Caenorhabditis elegans: one gene and its partners. The protein of the gene in region 1 interacts with the protein of each later gene in a pairwise test. Each region holds a gene or a part of one and is shown on either strand. Other genes may lie near its edges. The genes, in order: rpt-6, elt-2, T28C6.7 and nhr-6.

What was found.
Region 2: the proteins of rpt-6 (region 1) and elt-2 interact in a protein complementation assay, tested with the Caenorhabditis elegans proteins (one study listed by BioGRID).
Region 3: the proteins of rpt-6 (region 1) and T28C6.7 interact in a two-hybrid assay, tested with the Caenorhabditis elegans proteins (2 studies listed by BioGRID).
Region 4: the proteins of rpt-6 (region 1) and nhr-6 interact in a two-hybrid assay, tested with the Caenorhabditis elegans proteins (2 studies listed by BioGRID).

The regions. Positions count from the first base shown.
Region 1 is NC_003281.10:12,368,486-12,373,131, forward strand, and holds rpt-6 (26S proteasome regulatory subunit 8), read left to right. Parts: upstream 1-1,970; 5' UTR 1,971-1,975; coding exon 1,976-2,101; intron 2,102-2,153; coding exon 2,154-2,927; intron 2,928-3,621; coding exon 3,622-3,972; 3' UTR 3,973-4,123; downstream 4,124-4,646. Other genes in the region: his-72 (Histone H3.3 type 2), read right to left, coding at 559-565; glrx-5 (Glutaredoxin-related protein 5, mitochondrial), read right to left, coding at 4,152-4,376. UniProt on the Caenorhabditis elegans protein: Component of the 26S proteasome, a multiprotein complex involved in the ATP-dependent degradation of ubiquitinated proteins.
Region 2 is NC_003284.9:10,479,593-10,483,948, forward strand, and holds elt-2 (Transcription factor elt-2), read left to right. Parts: upstream 1-1,647; 5' UTR 1,648-1,648; coding exon 1,649-1,790; intron 1,791-1,840; coding exon 1,841-1,939; intron 1,940-1,982; coding exon 1,983-2,109; intron 2,110-2,153; coding exon 2,154-2,294; intron 2,295-2,388; coding exon 2,389-2,557; intron 2,558-2,602; coding exon 2,603-2,700; intron 2,701-2,746; coding exon 2,747-3,120; intron 3,121-3,284; coding exon 3,285-3,349; intron 3,350-3,507; coding exon 3,508-3,594; 3' UTR 3,595-3,849; downstream 3,850-4,356. UniProt on the Caenorhabditis elegans protein: Transcriptional activator that binds to the consensus sequence 5'-[AT]GATA[AG]-3'. Predominantly directs the transcription of intestinal genes such as ges-1, cpr-6, pho-1, ftn-1, vit-2 and lev-11, and itself.
Region 3 is NC_003282.8:8,826,127-8,830,817, reverse strand, and holds the start of T28C6.7 (Kinesin motor domain-containing protein), read right to left. Parts: upstream 3,015-4,691; coding exon 2,865-3,014; intron 2,818-2,864; coding exon 2,604-2,817; intron 2,300-2,603; coding exon 1,824-2,299; intron 1,770-1,823; coding exon 1,377-1,769; intron 1,270-1,376; exon of another isoform or gene 1,130-1,269; coding exon 1,036-1,129; exon of another isoform or gene 878-1,035; coding exon of another isoform or gene 686-877; intron 545-685; coding exon of another isoform or gene 377-544; exon of another isoform or gene 356-376; intron 237-355; exon of another isoform or gene 91-236; intron 1-90. Other genes in the region: T28C6.8 (Membrane protein BRI3), read left to right, coding at 377-544, 686-877.
Region 4 is NC_003281.10:3,572,048-3,579,310, reverse strand, and holds nhr-6 (Nuclear hormone receptor family member nhr-6), read right to left. Parts: upstream 5,731-7,263; 5' UTR 5,613-5,730; coding exon 5,571-5,612; intron 5,461-5,570; exon of another isoform or gene 5,454-5,460; coding exon 5,388-5,453; intron 5,164-5,387; coding exon 5,061-5,163; intron 5,018-5,060; coding exon 4,935-5,017; intron 3,120-4,934; coding exon 3,042-3,119; intron 2,995-3,041; coding exon 2,843-2,994; intron 2,703-2,842; coding exon 2,508-2,702; intron 2,442-2,507; coding exon 2,152-2,441; intron 2,107-2,151; coding exon 1,949-2,106; intron 1,902-1,948; coding exon 1,541-1,901; intron 1,464-1,540; coding exon 1,342-1,463; intron 1,131-1,341; coding exon 921-1,130; 3' UTR 540-920; downstream 1-539. Other genes in the region: C48D5.3 (TIL domain-containing protein), read left to right, coding at 287-429. UniProt on the Caenorhabditis elegans protein: Transcriptional activator that induces gene expression by binding to the NGFI-B response element (NBRE) 5'-AAAGGTCA-3'. Required for proper morphogenesis of the spermatheca and the spermatheca-uterine valve formation.

The DNA of each region.
Region 1 (4,646 bases):
CATATGATTGAAAAAGCGCGCGCACCCTGACACCACCGCGTTGCGGTCGCGTCACGGTCGAAATGCGCGCGCTTAGTAGGTGCGCTGCGGTCGCGTCGCGTGTTCGATCGATAACGTAGGATTTCGGAAGTGATGATGAAATAGGAGGTGTAGGAAATTGCGAAATTCTCATAAAATTTGAAAAAGTTGCTGAATTATTCAAGACTACGTATTTCTAAATTCTTTTCTAAAAAAATTAGTTTTGTTAAGAAGTTTTCTGCTGATTTTCCTGATTTTAATGGATAATCCCGTAAAACCGCACTGAAATTCTCGCCGCGACGCGGCCGCTTCGCGCATAAACGTGGCATCTAACTAGGTCGAAATCGATGCTAAGCCGATAAATTCTTAAGAAACATCTACTTTAATGGACTACTTCCAACCTATACCGAAAAAGGCTGTCAACTCGAGAGTACAAAATAAGCCTGTGGAAAAAAAAGGAGAAGAAATGAGCCAAATTGCAGTATAAAGCCCGCAAAATGGTCCGAAAAGTTGGGAGAGCGCGCGCGCACACGCACGCACCTCTCATCACGACGACAAACAGAACAACTGACAATATATATTCGAATGGTGTCGGGGCGGGGCGGGAACGAGTAAGAAGTACGAAGCCAAATTGGTGTCCACACTATAACGTTTGATACTCAGCCAACACGAAGACACGTGACGACACAGAGAGCAAAGACTTGGCATTGTGCCAAGTCTCCGCCTCCTCCCCCCTTTTGTCGTATCGATTTTGTGGGGTCTGGACCAAATCCGGATTAAAGCTGGAAAACTTATGCCAAGAAATATCAAATCTTTCAAAAATCCTCATTGAAAATCTGGAAAATTAACTTTAAACTTCAGGTCGCGAAGGATCCTGAATCCACGTGGATTTTCAGAAAAATTACTAATCGGGCAAAATTTTTTAAAGAATTTCATTTCTAGCGATAACTTAGCGATTCATCCGTAGATTTTTATGAAATTCGAGTATATTAACCGGAATAAGGTAACGGACCAAACTGGAAATTTTCAGGAAAAAATATGCGAAATGAGCTGAGATATGAATTAAAATGCTGCGAAATTCGAATTTTCCAGACGGAACGAAACAACAAAATGCAAAAATTTTACGCGCGCTAGTTTAATCGGGGGGCCACTCTCTTGCAAACACACACTATTTCCGAAATGCGTGCCGCTTCTCTGCGGTCTCTTCAGTGTCGCCGCTGCTCTCGCGCGATTGCGGACTTTGAACGCATTTCTTGAGAAAATATAGTAAAAATTGGAGTTTCTTGGGATCGAGGAGGATTTTTTATTTAAAATATTCAAAGAAATTGCACTAATAGTAAAAAATCTGATTACTGTTCAAGTTGAAATTTCAAAAAAAAAAAAAAACAGAAACAGTAATTTTTCTCAATTCCACAGAAAATTGAAATACTGGATACTCTAAAAATATTCCTCTTCAAATATTAATATTTTCTAAATGATTTGAGGAAGTTTCAGAAAAAAACGCATTTCCAGATCTAAATAAAGGTTTATAACAAATTTCTGCGGGTAATTTTGAAGATAAAAACAGTAAATTGGACGAAAAATCTTTAATTTTCTAAATTTCGAAGAAAAACATCAAGAAATTAACATGAAAACGAGGAAATCAATCTAATATTTCTTTAAATTTAACGTAAACACAACTGTGCATTTTTGCGTCGGCGTGTACAGCATTGCGTACGTGGCGCCACAATTGACGCCATATTGGTTCTCCGGTTGAAATATCATCATTTTTAAAGTTTCTCAATTTTTATCAGTTTTCAAGGTTTGAATTCGTTTTTTTAGGCGATTTTTTCGATAAATTGGCTTGAAAATTCAATTTCCAGGGAAAAATGAGAGATCCACACGTTTCTTGTCGTGTTATTTCAGTTTTTATTAGTCTCAACTTATTTAAAGCTATTATTTATTTTTTCCAGTGTTAATGGCTCCACCTGCTTCTACTGCTTCATCAGCTGACCCTTCTAAGCCAACGGCTCAAAAATTGACCGAAGAATCCGATGAGAAAACTCTTCGCAAATATTTCAGCACAAAAGTCGATGATGCGCAGGTTTGTTGTATTTTTTAAAAAGTTTAGCCCAAGGGTTTATCAAGTATTTCAGCAAAAAGTGGCCGACAAATCACAAAATGTGCGTCGTCTGCAAGCTCAGCGTAATGAGCTCAACACAAAAGTTCGTATGCTGAAAGAAGAGCTTCAGCAGCTCCACGAGCAAGGAAGTTACGTCGGTGAAGTGAGCAAAGCCATGGATAAGAAGAAAGTTCTTGTGAAAGTTCATCCAGAAGGAAAATATGTCGTCGACGTGGATAAATCCATTGATATCAACTCACTGAACACAGGAGCACGTGTTGCACTCCGAGCCGACAGCTATGCTCTTCATAAGCTTCTTCCGAATAAGGTGGACCCGCTGGTTTCGCTTATGATGGTCGAAAAGGTTCCTGATTCAACATACGAGATGGTTGGAGGTCTCGACAAGCAGATCAAGGAGATCAAGGAGGTTATCGAGCTGCCAGTCAAGCATCCCGAGCTCTTCGATGCTCTTGGTATTGCTCAGCCAAAAGGAGTCTTGCTCTTTGGACCACCAGGAACTGGAAAAACACTGTTGGCTCGTGCAGTTGCTCATCACACCGAGTGCACGTTTATTCGAGTTTCCGGCTCCGAGTTGGTGCAGAAGTTTATTGGAGAAGGAGCACGAATGGTTCGTGAGCTCTTCGTGATGGCTCGTGAGCATGCTCCATCGATCATTTTCATGGATGAAATCGATTCGATCGGATCTAGCAGAGTTGAAGGATCCAGTGGTGGAGATTCGGAAGTTCAGAGAACAATGCTCGAGCTTCTCAATCAACTGGATGGATTTGAGGCGACGAAGAATATTAAGGTGTGCAAAAGGAGCATATTGACCGAATATCAGGATTTAAAAAATTCAAAAAAAAACATTTTTTCTAGATTTTATATAATTTTTTGAAAATTGAAAAAATTTCAGTTTTCCCTAATTGCTATTTAAATTACCGCCAATTAAACTCGTTCGTTGGAGCGCGCTTGCATTATTTTTATTAATTTTTTAAAAAAATTATTCTCATCATTATTTCACTGATTTTCTTCATTTTTTGGGGTTTTTTCATCGGAAAATGAAAGAAATAAATAAGAAAAATGCAAATTGTTCATTAAAAAATAACTGAAAATGCCTAAAACAGGTGAAATTATGTGTTCCGACGACGACGAGCCTGAAATTAATATTTTTCGGACTTTTTAACAAACATTTTGCATTTGTCTTGTTTATTTCGTTTATTTTCCGATTAAAAAACTTCAAAAAATGAAGAAAATCAGTGAAATAATGAGAATAAATTTTAAAAAATTAATGAAAATACTACAAGCGCGCCCCAACGAACGAGTTAAATTGGCAGTAATTTAAATAGGAATTAGGGGAAAACTGAGATTTTTTCAATTTTCAAAACAAAAAAGCATATAAAATCTAGAAAATTTTTTTGAATTTTTTAAATCATAATATTCGGTCATCCCACTTAGCGTAGTCCACCTATAAATATTCCAAGCTTCTATATATAAATGTTCAGGTCATCATGGCAACCAATCGTATCGACATTCTCGACCCCGCACTTCTCCGTCCCGGCCGTATCGATCGTAAGATTGAGTTCCCGGCTCCAGATGAGAAGGCTCGTGCCGATATCCTCAAGATTCACTCGCGCAAGATGAACTTGATGCGAGGTATCAACATGGCCAAGATCGCCGAGCAAATTCCCGGAGCATCGGGAGCCGAAGTCAAGTCGGTGTGTACCGAGGCTGGCATGTTCGCGCTCCGTGAGCGACGTATTCATGTGACGCAGGAGGATTTCGAGATGGCTGTTGGAAAGGTTATGCAGAAGGATTCGGAGAAGAATATGTCCATCAAGAAGTTGTGGAAGTAAAAATAAAAATGCAAATTTCGACTTTTTTTATCGATTACCCCCCCCCCCCTTTCACTGATTTTATTGTAAAAAATGGACCCTATTTATTTATTGTCTTTGACCTCCCGTGCTCTCCTTCTTTTGCTGAATAATGCAATCTTTATTCGAAAAAAAAACGTCTAAATTTCTAACAGGATTATTCATTGCTTCCCATATTTATTCGAGATTCCCTTTTCGTCTAAAAAGTCGGAAATCTCTCCGTCTTTGTGCATTGAAATGAGAATATCACATCCGCCGACGAACTCTCCCTTCACATAGACTTGTGGAATTGTTGGCCATTCGCTGAAAATCTTGACACCTTCTCTTAGCTCCTGATCGGTCAGAACGTTGTAGTCTTGGAATTTTACATTGTGGAAGTCGAGAACCTGAAATGGGAAAATGTGATTTTTTGGGATTTTTTCTTTTTTTTTTTAAAGCGAAACTATTACGGTAGCACTAAATTCTGAGAATACGTATTGCACAACACATTTGACGCGCAACATATGAAATATCTCGCAGCGAAAACTACAGTAATCCTTTAAATGACTACTGTAGCGCTTGTGTCGATTTACGGGCTCTATCAAAGCTGGTAAATCGACACAAGTGCTACAGTAGTCTTATTTAAAGGATTACTGTGTAGTTTTCGCTACGAGATA
Region 2 (4,356 bases), on another chromosome or scaffold:
TAAAGATATATTTTATCATTTTTGATTATTATCTGATATTGTGGGGTGTGAAGTAATATTATGTGCGTGTGTGGCTGATTATCGAAAAAAACTGAAAATTATCAATTTTTCTACAGGTTATCTTTTTTTGTTTTATTTTTCATTATTGTATTCTTCATACTCCTTATCCTGCCCGAATCACAAAAGTTCCAGACAACTTGAAGGTCGCATCACGTTTTGTTTATAAGAATGTTGAACTGGTCAGCTTTGGAGACAGAACTGTCCTCCAAATGTTGAATATGTTTCCGTAAAACACACTGTGTAACAAAAAGCGTACCCTTTGATCCGGTATTCTTGAAAAAAAACATAGAAGGGCGTACTTTTCATATCTCACAAATATGCGTTTTTTATTTTATAATAATATCATTTATTGATAATTATATGTATTTGTATGTTTTCTTGTCTTTAAAATTATGGTGTGACATCACAGTTTAAAAATTATATGAAAACTAATGAGTGAAAAGTTAAAAATGTATAGTTTGCCGTATTTTCTCCATTAGTATTGTATTCAAAACTTATTTCCAATTGGTGAGCACTATAAACTTTGTAGGGTAATTGAGGTTCAATACTAATTTTTGAATATCTAGCTTTTGACAAATTATTCAAGTTTTGACAATGATGCCTTATCAAATTAAAAAAAATTACCATAAATTCTTGAAAGCTTTTGATTTTGTTTCACTCTGTGAAGGATAGTAATTTATCAACATTTTAACTAGATACATCTGTTCTGGCAATAAATTAAAGCAAGACTATTACTATGTGCAGTATTAATAGCTGCATTGCAACTTGTTTGAAAGTTTCAGTGAAAACGCAAAAACTCAATTTAATTTTCAAGTTTGTTTGCAAAATTGGATATATGTATCCATCAAAAGTCTGATCGCCTGTTTTATCTACTTATTGTCTCCTCAGTTGATTTTTTTGTAGTTATTATAAACGCTACTTTGAAACCAATATTTTCTTCCTCATTCCACTTTTTTCAATTACCAACTACCGTACATGCAATGATGGGCGGACCCGAGTCCCATGTTTGGCTGGAAGTGGGTGGTTGTCTGCGTATATGAGCGACAGAGGTCGGGGCTGAAACTGATAAGAATAGTCGACACTAACGCCATAATCGCTAGCCAGCCATCATGCACACCGAGCTCGGTGTGCACACCATCTTTCTTTTCAAACCAATACGCTTTGTGCCTTCATTGACAATTTTCTTTTTGATAAAATCAGCCTATCTATACTTCCCAATCATTTTTAGTCTTATCGTTGAACAGCTATCGAGGTGCCACTGTTTTCACTGATATCTTCTAAGTTACTATGGCATTAACATCTTTGTGTTCTTATTTTATGGGTTATTTTAATTAATTTTTGCAGTTAATTTTTGGAATGAGCAAGAAAATGTTAATTGTAATATCTTCGTCTGAAAATTGTCTTCAAATAGTTTTAATTTTAAAGGCAGTATTTAAGAAAATACACTTCTCGAAGCATTTTTGAATTTTTGAATTTTTAAACTGCTTGATGTTTTAGGTGCCACTGTTTTCATTGATAAGTTTTGATGTATAAATGCTTGATTTTCTTGGCATTCTAATAAAATAGAAACTAGAAAATAGATTATAGAATGGATAATAACTACAATGATAATGTCAACGGCTGGGCCGAAATGGAACCATCTCAACCAATGGGAGGTCTGCGCCTACCAACTCAGAACATGGATCCACCAGAGCAAAATAATGAGTCACAATTGAGTGAACTACCGAGAAGTAAACAAAACACTGAAATGCTTGTGGATTATAAAATTATAAAATTTCAGTGAAAATTGATAATGATTACGCATCTCCAATTGAACGGCAAAGTGTTATCACAAGTGGCACAAATAACTATGAGCCGAAAGTGGAAACTGTTACATCATGTAAGTGTGAATTCAAGTTATTTGGATTAATTCTTCCTTTTAGTTTTCCATACTGGCATAGACTACTCAAACTTTGGAATGTTGGACCAAACTACCATGCAACCGTTTTATCCTCTTTACAGTGGAATTCCCGTAAACACTCTTGGAACTTTTTCGGGATATACAAACTCGTAAGTCATGTTTTCAAGTTCTTACTTTCATATTCAAACTTTAGCATATACGACAAACCCTCTCTGTACGACCCCAGTATTCCTACCATTAACATCCCTTCTACTTATCCAACTGTGGCTCCAACTTACGAATGCGTCAAATGCTCACAAAGTTGTGGGGCCGGGATGAAGGCAGTAAACGGAGGGTAAGCTAGAAAAATTTCGATGACTCAATAAACTACCGGATTAATATGTGCCTGTACACTGTTTGGAAATAAACTACAACGAATAATTTTCTAGAATGATGTGCGTCAACTGTTCAACACCAAAAACCACGTATTCTCCTCCAGTCGCGTATAGCACTTCTTTGGGACAACCCCCGATTCTGGAAATACCTTCAGAGCAGCCAACTGCTAAAATTGCCAAGCAATCCTCTAAAAAGTCAAGTAGCTCAAATAGGGGGTCAAACGTAAGTTAAAGTTCGTTTGCAACAGTGTACAACAAATCAATACAGGGATCTGCGTCCCGTCGGCAGGGACTTGTGTGCTCCAATTGCAATGGTACCAACACAACTCTCTGGAGAAGAAATGCTGAAGGAGATCCGGTCTGCAAGTGAGTTTTTTTTTTTTTTTTTTTTTTCTAATGGTTTGTTTTTCAGTGCTTGCGGGCTTTACTTCAAACTCCATCACATCCCTCGGCCGACCTCAATGAAGAAAGAAGGTGCTTTACAGACAAGAAAGAGAAAATCAAAAAGCGGAGACTCTTCCACACCATCAACGTCACGGGCCCGAGAAAGGAAGTTTGAGAGAGCCTCTTCTTCGACCGAAAAGGCTCAAAGGTCATCTAACCGGCGTGCGGGAAGTGCAAAAGCAGACCGAGAACTGAGCACTGCTGCCGTCGCAGCTGCGACTGCCACATATGTGTCACATGCCGACTTGTATCCCGTTTCCTCAGCTGCCGTCACCTTGCCAGATCAAACGTACAGTAATTACTATCAATGGAACACTGCCGCTACAGCTGGGTTGATGATGGGTACGTGATCAACTTTTATAAAATGAAAACTACTAACCTTGAAATAGTACTTAAAGTATGGTATTAATGGTGGATAGCGTTAATTACAACAAAAACATAACTTCATAATATTGCATTCAAGCCCTCTAAGATATTCAAGCTTTTCAAAGTTTATTTTATTTCAGTTCCAAACGATCAAAACTACGTGTATGCAGCAACAAACTACCAGACTGGCCTAAGACCTGCCGATGTGAGTATGAAGCTGTTTGCCACTTCCTCGCTTATCCCACCGGTTGAGTTGCTTTTCCCAATATTTTCCCATGTACACACCAAACAGTTGTCAAATATATTACCTTATCGAGTGCTCACCTTTCATGTTTGTTTCATTTCATAAGGAATACTTTTTAGAACATCCAAGTTCATGTGATGCCAGTTCAGGATGATGAAACCAAAGCTGCGGCTCGCGATTTGGAAGCGGTCGACGGAGATTCTTAAACATATAGAAATATTGCTCAGCTCTTCCAAAGTTGTCCATTTTAATGCATAGTTTTGTATTCTCAAAAAAAAAACCATATTTGTATTATTTATCATACTGATTGCAATAACTGCCTTTTTAAAGTGTTTTCAAAGTGTTCATCCATACTTGTATAGTTTCAAAATGTTTTAAATATTTTTTCTCTAAATACTAACTCTAATAATTATACAAACATGTGTACCCTACTTTTAGTTTTTAATAAAATTATTATGGTTCTGGGTGTTCTAGATGTAAATGATGGAAATTAACTACAGGATATCGTAAAAGCGTCATAAAACTTCAAAACTTATGATACTGTAGCAAAACTTTGTTATTTCAAATTAGCAAATATTTCTGATTACGGGTTCTTCAAAAAAAATTTAAAAAATACACTAATTTATTTTTCAACGACGCCGGGCACCTGTGAACCAAGAAGATTGATACCGCGTATTTCATTGCCAAGGTTTGCGCCCATATTAACAAATTTTGAAATGAGACTTCTCAAAGTTTGCAATGGCTGTTTAAATTTTTGAAAAATGGCATAATATACAGTGCGTCCAACTTCTCTTGCCCCCCCCCCCCCCCTCTAATTTGGCGGTTTGAAACAGTTCGGTAGCGCATGTTGAAAAACTTATGCTGGTGTGAAGTTTCTTTCAAAATAAATTTATTAATTGCAAAGAATACCCCGATTTTACCGAAAATTGTCAAAAATCAGAGGGGGTGCTATAGAAGTTGGACCGCCA
Region 3 (4,691 bases), on another chromosome or scaffold:
GTATTGTCAACACAAAACAATGTTTCTCTAATTTCTCTATATGTCTGCCTGTCTGTCTGTATATCTGCGTGCCGTTTCTCTCTATGTCTATCTTTAGTTGATTGTGATACTTTAGGCGAAAACAGTGAGGTGGCAGTCGAGCGGATACTTTGTCCTTTCTCTCCCATCGATTATTGACACGCTGCGTCCCACATTAATTTTTTTTTGCATTATTGGAACACGATTCGATGTGGCAAGTGAGTTTAGGCATAATTTATTCTCATAAACGGAGAAGCACGTATGAGCTTCCAGATATGAAACTGCTGCACACCTTCTTCAAACACTTTTTAAAAAGTTTTTAAAGCTTAAATTTCAGATGTAAAACTTCAAAACCATCATGTCATCCACTACATCTTCTAATCTGTCATGTCCGGCTTGCACTCAGAAAAAAGTGAAAAGCCGTTTCAGTTGGCGAGCAATTTTATACGCAATTTTTTGCTTTCCGTGTGGAATCTACTGCTGCATGAAACGGAAAACATACTATTGCACACAATGTCAATGTGATGTGAGTTTTTTCTTTCAAAATAAAATTAGAAGGCTTAGTTCTTATGAAAATGAGAGCTTTAGTTATAATTTCTAAAGAAATGTATTGGTGTTCTGCAATAGCTAATGTCTTATCTCGTTTTTAATAAATCAAATGTTGCAGGTGGTTAAACGTACTGAAACCCGTGCTATTTTACCAAGAACTCCCGGATTGGGCTACAACTTCCGTTTGTACGAATCTACAAAAACGGCTCTTCCAGCTAGTTTTGCTGCATATCGTAATCCGGCAATGACAGCATCATCCACAGATTCTACAGTTTCCACCACACTATCAACTGCACCAATTGTGGATTAATTTTTTGAATTTTTGATTTCGCCAGGGTTTCAAAAGGGGTTTGTTACGTTTAAGTAATTTTCATAAGTAAATATTTCCGATTATTCTGATACTTGATCAGAAGTTTTAAATGATACTTATCCCATTTTTCTTTACAAAAAAGTCTCCTATCGTCTCACCATTTGATTTCTTGTCACTTTGCTCTTTTTCGCGTTCCAAAGCCAATAGTTTCGTCTCGAAAGCTTTTGATTTTATCAGTGCTCGATGATCGACCTGTAAATTATTTGAAATATTTTTCAGTTTCTTTTTCTGTTTGATTTTGGTCAATTAAACTACGGGTTTCAGTGTGATTAATTACATAACTTTGAAACGTATATTTCCAGAATTTTTCCGTTAATAAATATAATACTTTTTCTTTTTTATAGATATTTCAATTGACTTTTCTCTAGACTAGAAATTTCGAGATGTTAAAGATTTTCTTATGGAAAAAATGAGCTTCAACAGGAAATAAAAATCTTACCTGTGAAGCACCCAAATTCTCTCTCAAAAGTCCAATATGTTGCTCATAGATGACAATATCAGCTTCAAGAACTTCAATAAATCTATCCTGTGCTTGAATGGCATCCTTCAATCGGTCAATGTCCTCAAAAATAGCTTTTTTCTGACATTGATTGTAGTTGATAGCGGATTCAGCTTGAAGGAGATCTTCAACCATCAATTCCATCAGCTTTTTAGATTCGTCAACTTCTGAGCTCAAGGATCGTTTGGCTACTTCACTAGCATCTAACTCTGTTGTCAACTTGTGAACTTTTTCTTTCAAATGAGCAACTTGATCACGAAGAAGAGCATTTTGTTCTATTTCCCAATTTCGAGAAGATCGGAGAGTGTCAACTTCTTCTTGAAGACGATCCCTCTGAAAATTGGAAACGTTTCTATACAAAATGATATATTCATCTATTTCACTTACCTCATCTTCATATTTTCCATTGATATCTTCAAGTGTAGTTTCCAACTCCTTGATTCTTGCAGTCGCCGCAACCTTTGCCTTGAGTCCAGCAGTTTTTGCCTCTTTTGTGTATTTGAGAATTTCAGATTCATAGTCTGCTTTCATTTTTTCAACAGATGAGTTTAGTTCGATAACTTGCTGACGGAGTAAAGCATTTTCAGATGAAGCTTCTGTTAAAGCAGACTCGAGAGCGTCTGAAGTTGAAGAAGACATTGAAATGGTGGGATAGCGGGAAACAGATGTAGATGGAAAATTGGAAGATGTTGATGTTCCAATTGAAGAACCATTTGGATTTAAATCAAAAGTTACACGTTTTCTTTGATGTTTCCTATGGATTCCGTCAATATCTGGAAGAGCGCTCAGTTTGCTAGATGGATCAAATGGAGGATCCAATGGTGGAGGAGAGAAGGTTCCCGATGAACTTGAGACCATCGTTTCTGAAAAATAGATCAATTCAATTCCGTTAAACTTTAAAAAAAAGTTTTATATCGTCACAATTTTCAATTTCTAGCCGTGTGCTCAATTTTCGAGCTTATTTTCAAGAAAAAGAGGAGCATACAAATTACTTGGGCAAGCTACCTTTAGATTACTGTAGGTTACAGTTGTCCTAACACGTCTAAGATCAGCAATTTTCCTGTTTGGGAATAATAAAAAAATTCTAAAAATAAAACTGAACGTCATATATATTCAGAAATGGTGCATGACAACTTCATTTTTTTTTAACCAAAAAACTTTACTCACTTCTCTGTGCAATGACATGACCTGGAGATGAACTTCTTGCTCTCCGTTCACTCTTTGAATTTGATAATGGTACTGAGGAATGAGCCATCAAAGAAGGCTCAGTTTCTGTCGACATATCCTTCTTGTCTCTATTCATTTCTTCAAATTTTTGTTGAACAATTCTCATTGCTTGATTTTTGACTGAAGCAACTTCATTGTGCTCACGAACTCTTTCCTAAATACAACTCCAATATGAAACCACAGAAACAGAATAATTCTCACCTGTAAGTCCAAAATTTGCCTTTCTTTATCCAATATCACATTATTTAAATCTATAATTCGGTTATCCTTATACACCAGTTGTTGATGAACCCGTTCATCGATCCGTTTGTCGGCCGATTTTTCTTTTTCTTTGGAGGTTTTGTCCTCCATTTCTGAAAAGTATTATATTTGTATTTAACGTATTTAAAAAGTGACAGTATACTTCAAGGACGTGAAGAAACAATGAGAAGAAAAGAAATTTGAAAATTATAGTTTAAAAAAAGGGATGACGTAAAATTATTCAAAAACTTTTTAAATAATTTGTAAATCCAGAATAAATTTTCTGCGAGAGATTGGAGAGAGAAACAGAGAAACCCCGTTCCACGTAACGGAGAGGCGCTGAACCCACGTGGAAAGCTCACATTTTAATCTCACGCAATAATATGCGTCTCACGTTTTTTTTTCAAAAAGTTTTCCGAACACATCCTTTTTTTTCTAAAATTTTTTAATCTTCCGACACTACTTGAGAAGTCTTATAATGGATGAAAAATCGTTTTTTAAAGTTAATAAACTGATTAGGTATAAGGAGCATGCCAAAAATATATTCACTTTCAGTTTTTTGATAATGTTGCAAATTATTCAAAAGTATAACTCGTAACCTAGTTATCAGAAGTATAACTAACAAAATATTTATTTTTGTATTTAAAGGTTGCTGAAGTAAAATAATTTTCATTTACTGTTTCATTTTTTAACTATAATAATAATATACTCTAGAAATTCCGCTTTTTTTGGTACTAGTGAATATAATTAACTTATTTGAACAAGTATACAAAAGTAAAAATAATTTGCTTCTGAATTAGCTTCTGAATTAGTTTCGGAAATAGTTTCGGAATTCATTTTAATCATTCTCAACAATATCAAAAACCAAAAAAGGTTGCTTCTTTGGCTAGCACTGTGAATTAATACAGCAATTTAAATATAGGTTATATAACTAAATTTGAAACATAAGGAAGAATATATGAAACGACTTAAAACAGTTACAAATCTACGTGCAATTTAATTCCTGAAGAATCAAAAATGAAGTTTTAACACGAAATTCTACAAAAAACTGGTTCGAATTAGTTCCTTTCGAGAGACACGTCGACCAACACGGCACCCGCGTTATTGATTTTCTGCTGACGCACATTCGTTTGCGGTGGCGCATTTCACTTTCGCGGTGACCATTGACATAGTGTATGGGCCAAATAATGGGAGAGCTCGGTGAAATATTAGTGACATTAAATACGGATATTAATTACAAAAAAGAAATCGATGGTAAAAATAACCAAATGACTATTTTGGCATGAAAAAACATGACTTTTCAATTTTTATTTTCTGTTTTGGAACTCTTCATGTAGGCCATTTTAAATCATTAGTTTTCTGTGCGGTGTGTATTCAGAAAAGTTAAAGTAAGCATTGAAAACTGTGAACAAAACGTTATAAGAACACGTCTCATTGTCTGTCAGTACATGAGAGCACGATGTAAAAAAGCAAAGCACACAACTGATATTTTTGTTAAAATAATTTCTGTCTTACTAAAGTTTTTGGGTCAAGATAGATCAAACAGCATCGAGAAGAAAATTTACTAAGTTTGGTAACCCATGAAACACAGTTCTCTTTCTATTTTCAAAAGGCATTTGTGTCTATTAAGCTCATCAGTTCTTCTGAAAAATCAGCATTACTGATAGCATAAATTCTAGGCTTTTCAGGTCATTGTAATAATTCGATAAACCATTCCAAATTTCGAACTAGGAGCATTTTTAAGAATATTGTTTCTTTATACTAAAACTAATAAATATTTTGTACAGA
Region 4 (7,263 bases), 8.8 Mb from region 1:
TTCAAAGTTGACGCTTTTGGCCAACCCGTGACGTCACACAGAACAGTTTGAGGCGAACCCTAACATTTTGAAAACTTTAATATTAAAAGGAAATAATGTCCCGATTGTTCTTGCACGGACGTTTCGCGGGTTCCGCGGTTCAACCAAGTTCAGCACAGTCCAGAACAGAAACTTTGCGCGTAAATTATGATACAGTAGGTCAATGCCCCTTAAAACGTGTGACGTCACACACTTCTATTTGAGGGGACACATGCCTTCTTCACTTCGAAAAACCTTCAAATTTCAGGGAAGAAGTGCCCAGACTTTGCTCATCCGGAGCCCATCATTGACGACCGTGGATTCAGCCGCTGCGAGCTGAAAACCGATCTGAAAACCGCGTTCCAGTACATGAGACGTAACAAACGACAAATGCGAAATAATTTTTGTTAAGCTTCAGACCTTTTTCTCCAGGAATTGCTCTCTAAACTTCAGTATACCCCTTCCCCACAGTATTCTTGTCCCTCTCTCTCCGGTGCTTTGTAATAAAATGAAACAATGTAAAAATATATAATTTATGGTTTTCTTTTTCTATACAATAATTTCAAGAAATATCAGTTAAAATAAATAAACTCTGAAAATTGAAACAAAACAAAATTGATATTCGGGGATTGGAATTCACACAAAAACTAGAGGCTTTTCATAAAATAAAAACCGAATGGGGGGACAAATTCTGAGAGATTTGAGGTTCAAGGAGCAAAAATTGTTGGGAAAGTACCGGTAACAAGTTATTTGAAATTTTTCTGGAAGTGATTTTTTGTTTGAGACAGTAGTGGGGAAACAAAATAAATTAGAAATCTTTGCGATATGCAATTCAATGGGGCTAGCGATTTTGAAAAATATATTAATTTTAAATTTTTAAAATTTTAAACATTTAAAAAATTTTAAAAGGCAGCCGGGCCCATTTGGAAGTTAAAAAGTGAACTTCCAGATGGGGCAACTGGGCTTCCACAAGCTGGCGGTGCATCCGTAGATCGTAATGGAGCACGTGTAAGATTGATAAGGAACATGAACTCTTCTGGAAGCTGGTGTGATGGATAGAGAATGTCCAGGGCCTGGAGTCCAAGAGCATGGAATACATCGAATTCTTGGGTCTGAAAATTGAATAGTTAGTGTTATACTAGACATCCTACTTGCATGTCAGTCTGGAATACTTGCTCTCAGTGCAACCCTCAATAAAAAATAAAAATTTTGCTTCCTGGCAGACATGGATTAGCATTAGAAGCGTGCAAATTTTGCCCTCAAAGCGTGTTACAAGGCTTCCCCGCTAGATTCTACGTCACACGTTGAAAATGACAAACTTACCAATCTAACGATCTTGGCCAATTTGTTCTGAGATCCGCTGCAATGATCCTTGAGAGCATTGATGATGGTACTTTGAACCTGGTCGACGAGAGGTTTGTTGGTCAATCCAAGTACGTTATGTTCTGAAAAAATTTTGAAATTATGAAATGAGGAGTAGATAAACTTTGCTGAAGCTTTTTAGGGTTTAAATTCTACACACCTGTGTTTCCAGCCAAAAATTGAAGAGCAATAAAGGCGGCGAATGCCTGAGGCTCCCAGTCAACCAATGAGCTGAAGGTTCGTGCTTTGTCAACCATGAATCGAATGATTTGTTGGAAGCAGGCAGGGAACGCGTTCAACGAGAAAAGCTCTCCAGACTCGAACATAATTGTGTCGGTGCTGTTGCCACATCGGTTTGCCACGCGGATTGCCATGATTGCGAAGAAAGATCTGCTGAGGAGGATCTGGAAGTCGGCTGGCTGAATCTCGGAAATTTGTGGCATTGCCATGAGAAGCTTCTTGGTGGCATGAAGCTCTCCGTGCAGGATTCTCAGTGCGATAGTCTCATCGAATGGTTGCATCTAAATGATAAACATTTTCCAAAAGAAATGCTAAATTTCCGACTTACAAATTGCCGGACAACAGTCATATTTGTATGATCTTCAATTGCTTTTCCCATCAAAGCTAGAAGAGGAAGCGGTGGAGATGGTTGATCCTCTGATCTTGCCAACTTCGTCTTTGACGACAAACGTCCACGTCTCCCCGATAGAGAACCATGTCGAACAACTGAAATATCACAAATAATGAACATTTCCCAAAGGGTACACCTACTTTCTTTGACCATGCCGACTTCCAAACACTTTTGATAGCGACAGTACTGGCACCGACTACGGTATCGCTTGTCGATTGGGCAGGTCTTGTTACCAGCGCAAGTGTATTTGGAGTTCTTCTGCACAGTTCGCTTGAAGAATCCTTTGCATCCTTCGCAAGTTCTGGCTCCATAGTGCAGGCAAACAGCTCGATCATTGCACACAGCGCACATTTTGTCAGCGTCAAGAGCTGTTTCCGATGGGACACCGAATGAGGTTGGTGTGGAGAGGTTGTCGGGGTTGAGGAAGGATCTGAAAGTTTTCTTTTTTTTTTAATTTCAAATTTAAAATATCAAATTTCAAATTTCAAAAACGAACCTTAAGAAGCCTTGCAACTGCGGGGGTGACGTTGGCAGAGAGCTTGAATGAGGCGATGGTGTTCCGCCGGTATTGTTCGACGAGCTCGTTGTCCCCTGACTTCCACGCCTGGAATCCGATACCGGAAAGTGTTGAGGATAGAATGGAGATGTGAATGAAGGCATCAAGGGATTCGGCATGAAATCATTCGAAAGTCTGTAAGAAGAAACAATAGAAATCCTCTCGTGGAAGCACCAGCTTATGCTCTCAATGGAGGTTAATCCTCGGCTCGATGTACTACGTAGAAAACACGAAGCAAAAGTAATTCACACGTGGTTATCTGTGACGACACTTACGCGAATGGATTGTAATGCGGTGCGGCGGTTGCCAGGAAAAGATCGTTGTGTGGCATTTGAAATGCTTGCATAGTTGGGTCAAGTTCACTTTTGATATGGGTGATTGAGGCGTTCATTTCGGATGGTAAACGGTGACTGGAGGAGGATGGTTTCTGAAATTATTAAAAGTTTATAATTGTGTGCAGAATGAAGCTCTTACCTGCTCGAATTCTTCGGGGATACTCTCGACTTCGGTTTTCGTGGGCTTTGGTACAGTGTTCACCTGATCGCTTGTCTCCTGCAAACTTTCAATTTCAGACTTTATAAAGCCCATAAGTCCGCTAAGATCATCTCCGAGCCTGACCACAGGCTTGTCAATTTTGCTAGCTGTCCGTTTGCTCATCATAACTGTAGGGTGCAGGGGGGAAGTAAGTATGAATATATGAAAAGTGCGCTTCTATCAAACAGCTGATTAGGCGGCTGCCCAGGAAAATTTCAAGGGGCGGAGTCCAGAGCCCTGAGCATTAGCTGCGACAAAAGAGCATACACGAGGAATTATGTCAGTCCACGCCCCGAGACCACCTAAGAGTGATGACGACGTCGCTGACAGAAGCCAAAAAAGAATGAGAGGTGACACTTTGAGGATATAATAGAAACAGGTTTCCCAGAGAGACCATCAAATCAAAATCGAAAGTAAAGAGTTTTCGAGATGGATGAAAGGAAGAAGAAAGACGACAAATTGCGGGGTGTTTCATGCCAAATTTTGGTGTGGACACAGAGGACTGAAGGGGGAGCCAAATGGCACGTGTATCTATCAATTAGCCGGATGATAGTGGGTGTATGTGTTTGAGCAAAACTGAAGGTTAAGCCAGCATTTAAATATTTTTCGGGTTTTCGGACTGTTTATGTGAGGAAGTTAAGAGTTTTTTTGGAGCAGAAAACAAGAAAAGAGCTATGAGAGCTAAACTTTTTGTACTCTTCTCTGGTCTAAAATGACGCAGAGCCTGTGGGCTGAAAATATTTGTTGTAGTCCTCGAAAAATTACCGCCTACATGGCTAAGCAAACTAGAAATAAAGAAATTATCTCGAGAGCTCCAAAAACGTTCTAAAGCCTTAAAAATGCAGGGCGATTTTATTGAGAAATGCTAAAAATGGGTCAAAAATATCAAAAATCATACTTGTTGAAAAGGCCATTTTCGAGCATTTTTTCCAATGGTTCAAGTGGGCAAAATCTGATTTTCAGATAAATCAATATGCATATATTCCTGATTTTGACAGTAATTTTCAATGAAAAGTTGGGTCTAAATTCAGAAACTCGGAGCCATTTTTGTGGGGGGCTACTCTAGTTTTTTTTTTGGGATTTTTGATACATTTTTTTACATTTCTAGACTCTCATAAATTTTGAGCAGTGGGAAAAATTAGAATTTTTTTAAAAAGTTTCTAGAATTCAAATTTTTTAGAGGTTGAAACATTGATTTTGAGTGAAAAAAAATAGTCGACTTCCAAAAACTTCTAAACAACTTGCCAAATTTTCTAAAATGGTCTACTTTTTACAGTAGCCAAAAAAGAAAGCAGCAACATCAAAAGAAACACTACTAATAAATGAATGACATTTTGGTACAAGTGACTTGTTAGCATTAGGGGTCCCACCCCTGCTGCTACTGTCTCTATGACTAATGGCAAATACCATTGCGCCAACACCCAAAAAAAAAGAAAGAGAAAGACTACTACTAGTTGGGTGGAAAAGTTGTAGAATGAATTTGAAACGAGAAATATTTCTCTCCAACCAACACCACTCGTGGCTCTCTCTACAAGTGATCTCACCTATCCAATTATCTTTCTAATAAGCGGGCACGAAATGTGTTGGGAAAGTGCAGGGTGATTCGACAGGAAACAATGACTGTGTTGAGAGGGGATGCCAAGTTTGAAATGAAGTGGGAAACGAGGAGTCGGGTGATATTATTCACATGTTCCCACTCACACCTTTTTTTACCGCCGGAAAAAAGTTCAAAAAAATTATAGCTCAGAAAAGGATTATACCAATTTTCTCCCACAGATTTGAAAAAAAAGGTTTCATGGGAATCTTAAAAAAGTTCTTGGAAAAAGAGCTCACCACAAGAGAATGGAAAAGGCTGTCGAGGTCGGCATCGGTGGTTTTGGAGCCTTTGCGAGACGAGGAAGATGGTCCAAACTCTCCTGAAACCAATAATTAGGAAGAAATGGAAATTTTGTGAATTACCGTAGTCGAATGATGAGGAGCACGAAGAGTTTTTCGACATCTCGCGGAAGAAGTCCCTTCGCAGAGGTTCTTCGTTACGCACGAGGCGTGTGTAGATTTCGATCTTAAAAAATAAAATTTAAATTAAAGTTTTTGCCAGATTTTGTAATATCTCATTTTCCGTTGTTTCTGGGCACATGATTTTTGAGTTTTCTGTTTTTTTGGGATTGTGCAATTTTTGTATTTTTTTTTCTATAATTCTTAAGCCCAAGCCTAATCCTAAGCCGAATCCTAAGCATAAGCCCAATCTTGTTTAGGCTTCCAGAAGATGAGAATAAGAATACTTACTTCGTCCTCCACGCTGGAGCAGGATGAGTAGCTACTATCGACAGAAGCTGGCGAGCAGTTGGAAAACTGAAAATTTACCACATATAGAATTTACCACATATCTTTTCCACCGAACTTTAACAGTTTTTCTGGTACACCTGCCAGTTCGCCTACTCAAAAAAAAAAAGAAATAGGTTAGGGTACCTGATCTTGCAACTCGTCCGTTTGAATACTAAGTTGTTCCATTCAGTCGGACAGACCGCGCATCCGATTAATGAGCGGTCGATATAAGGAGTTGTAAGATTTGAATGAAGAAAGATGAAGAAGAAGTGAGAGAAGAGCTCTAGTAGTGGTCAATCTGAAAATGTTCAGAATTTTAACGAATTTTCAGATTGGGTGAGTGGGAGAGAGAGAGAGACGATCGGGAATTATATAGTGTCAAACAATTGAGAAGGCGGAGTAGCAGCTCGTGGCGCGTCATCAGAAGCACCTAAAAATGCACATGTGCAGGTGATTTGACACTGTGACAACTGATCGAGCAGCAACACTAAAAAAGTCAACAACATGTGTTCTTGCCCGTCTTGAATGGAATATTCACCTGCCCGCGCCTTGATTATCTACGTAATTTCAGGAAAGGAATTTTGACGACACCACCGGGCCGGCTAAAATTAGAAGTGGTCACTCTAAAAGCAGAATCAGCCTTTTTTTCATTGTTTCCAATTCTGTGAGCTCAGAGTTTAGCGATCGAATCGCTTCGATATACTATGTAGGTCAGCTCTCAAAATCAATGAGGAGATCCCAATGTACAGGTGAGTGGTTACTGTAACAGTTAACTTCTATGCCTGCTGCCGTGCCTACAACTGACCTACGGCTACTGTTATCTGCATTAGGGGAGTTGAAGGCACGCAGGTAGGCATAGGTACTTGCAAACCCATCAGTTAGCATCTATGTCTAGAGCTAATTAATCTCTGAGCTAGTTTGTGACTTCATCACAGGTGCAAGATATTTTGTACGTAGACAATTTAAATCCAAAAATGCATGCAGAGTGGGAAGTGTGAAAAGGTCGGAAAATTGCGTCAGCTGCTGCTCTAGACAATGGAAAAAAAGGAAAAAATAGAAAGTATGTGCACCGGTGAAATTATTTAGTCATTTCAAGGGCATTTTCATGATAAGGAGAGTTGTTCGGTAAATTGGGTGCTACGCAAAAACTAATGCAAAAGTGAAAAATATTTTTTGCATAAATGATCTACAGAAAAATTATCTTTCCGGAACAGTCGGAACAATAAATTTCTACGACTAAATGAGCATTATTATATACCAGAAACCGTAAAGGGAACTTATGATATCACTTCCTCCCGCCCATCTCACGACACATCATAACTGATCTGAACAATGGATCATTTTCCGAAAAACATACAAACCTCCGGGGGGATGTTCTAATTGGTTTGTCTATCTAGTTCTAGCTCCTGTGAGTAACAAGGCGTATCAGAAAACATATTTGGAAAAATATGCTAAATAGTAGGAAGGAAGCTGTAAATTACAAGAAAAACGTACATGTTGAGAAAAAATTTTGCGGTTTGTGGGAGCATTAGGAAATCTTTCGCAATGCACTGTTGCATAAGACTGTAGATAAAATTTGAGTTAGGAAATTTTTTTCGAGGAATCGGTTTTTGAGAGAAATGAGGGGCGTTAATTCTAAAAAATGTCCTATTGCACCAGGTGCAATGAGACCAAAATATTTTGATTTGATTATTTGATTAATTTGAAAATAGCATTTATTTGAGCTAAAACATTTGAATAAATGCTCAAAATAGCCTAGAAGTTGTCAATTGCTAGACAATTCGATAATGGATGAATGGCAATTTCCAGGTTATTTTTGAGAATTTTCTAATATGTT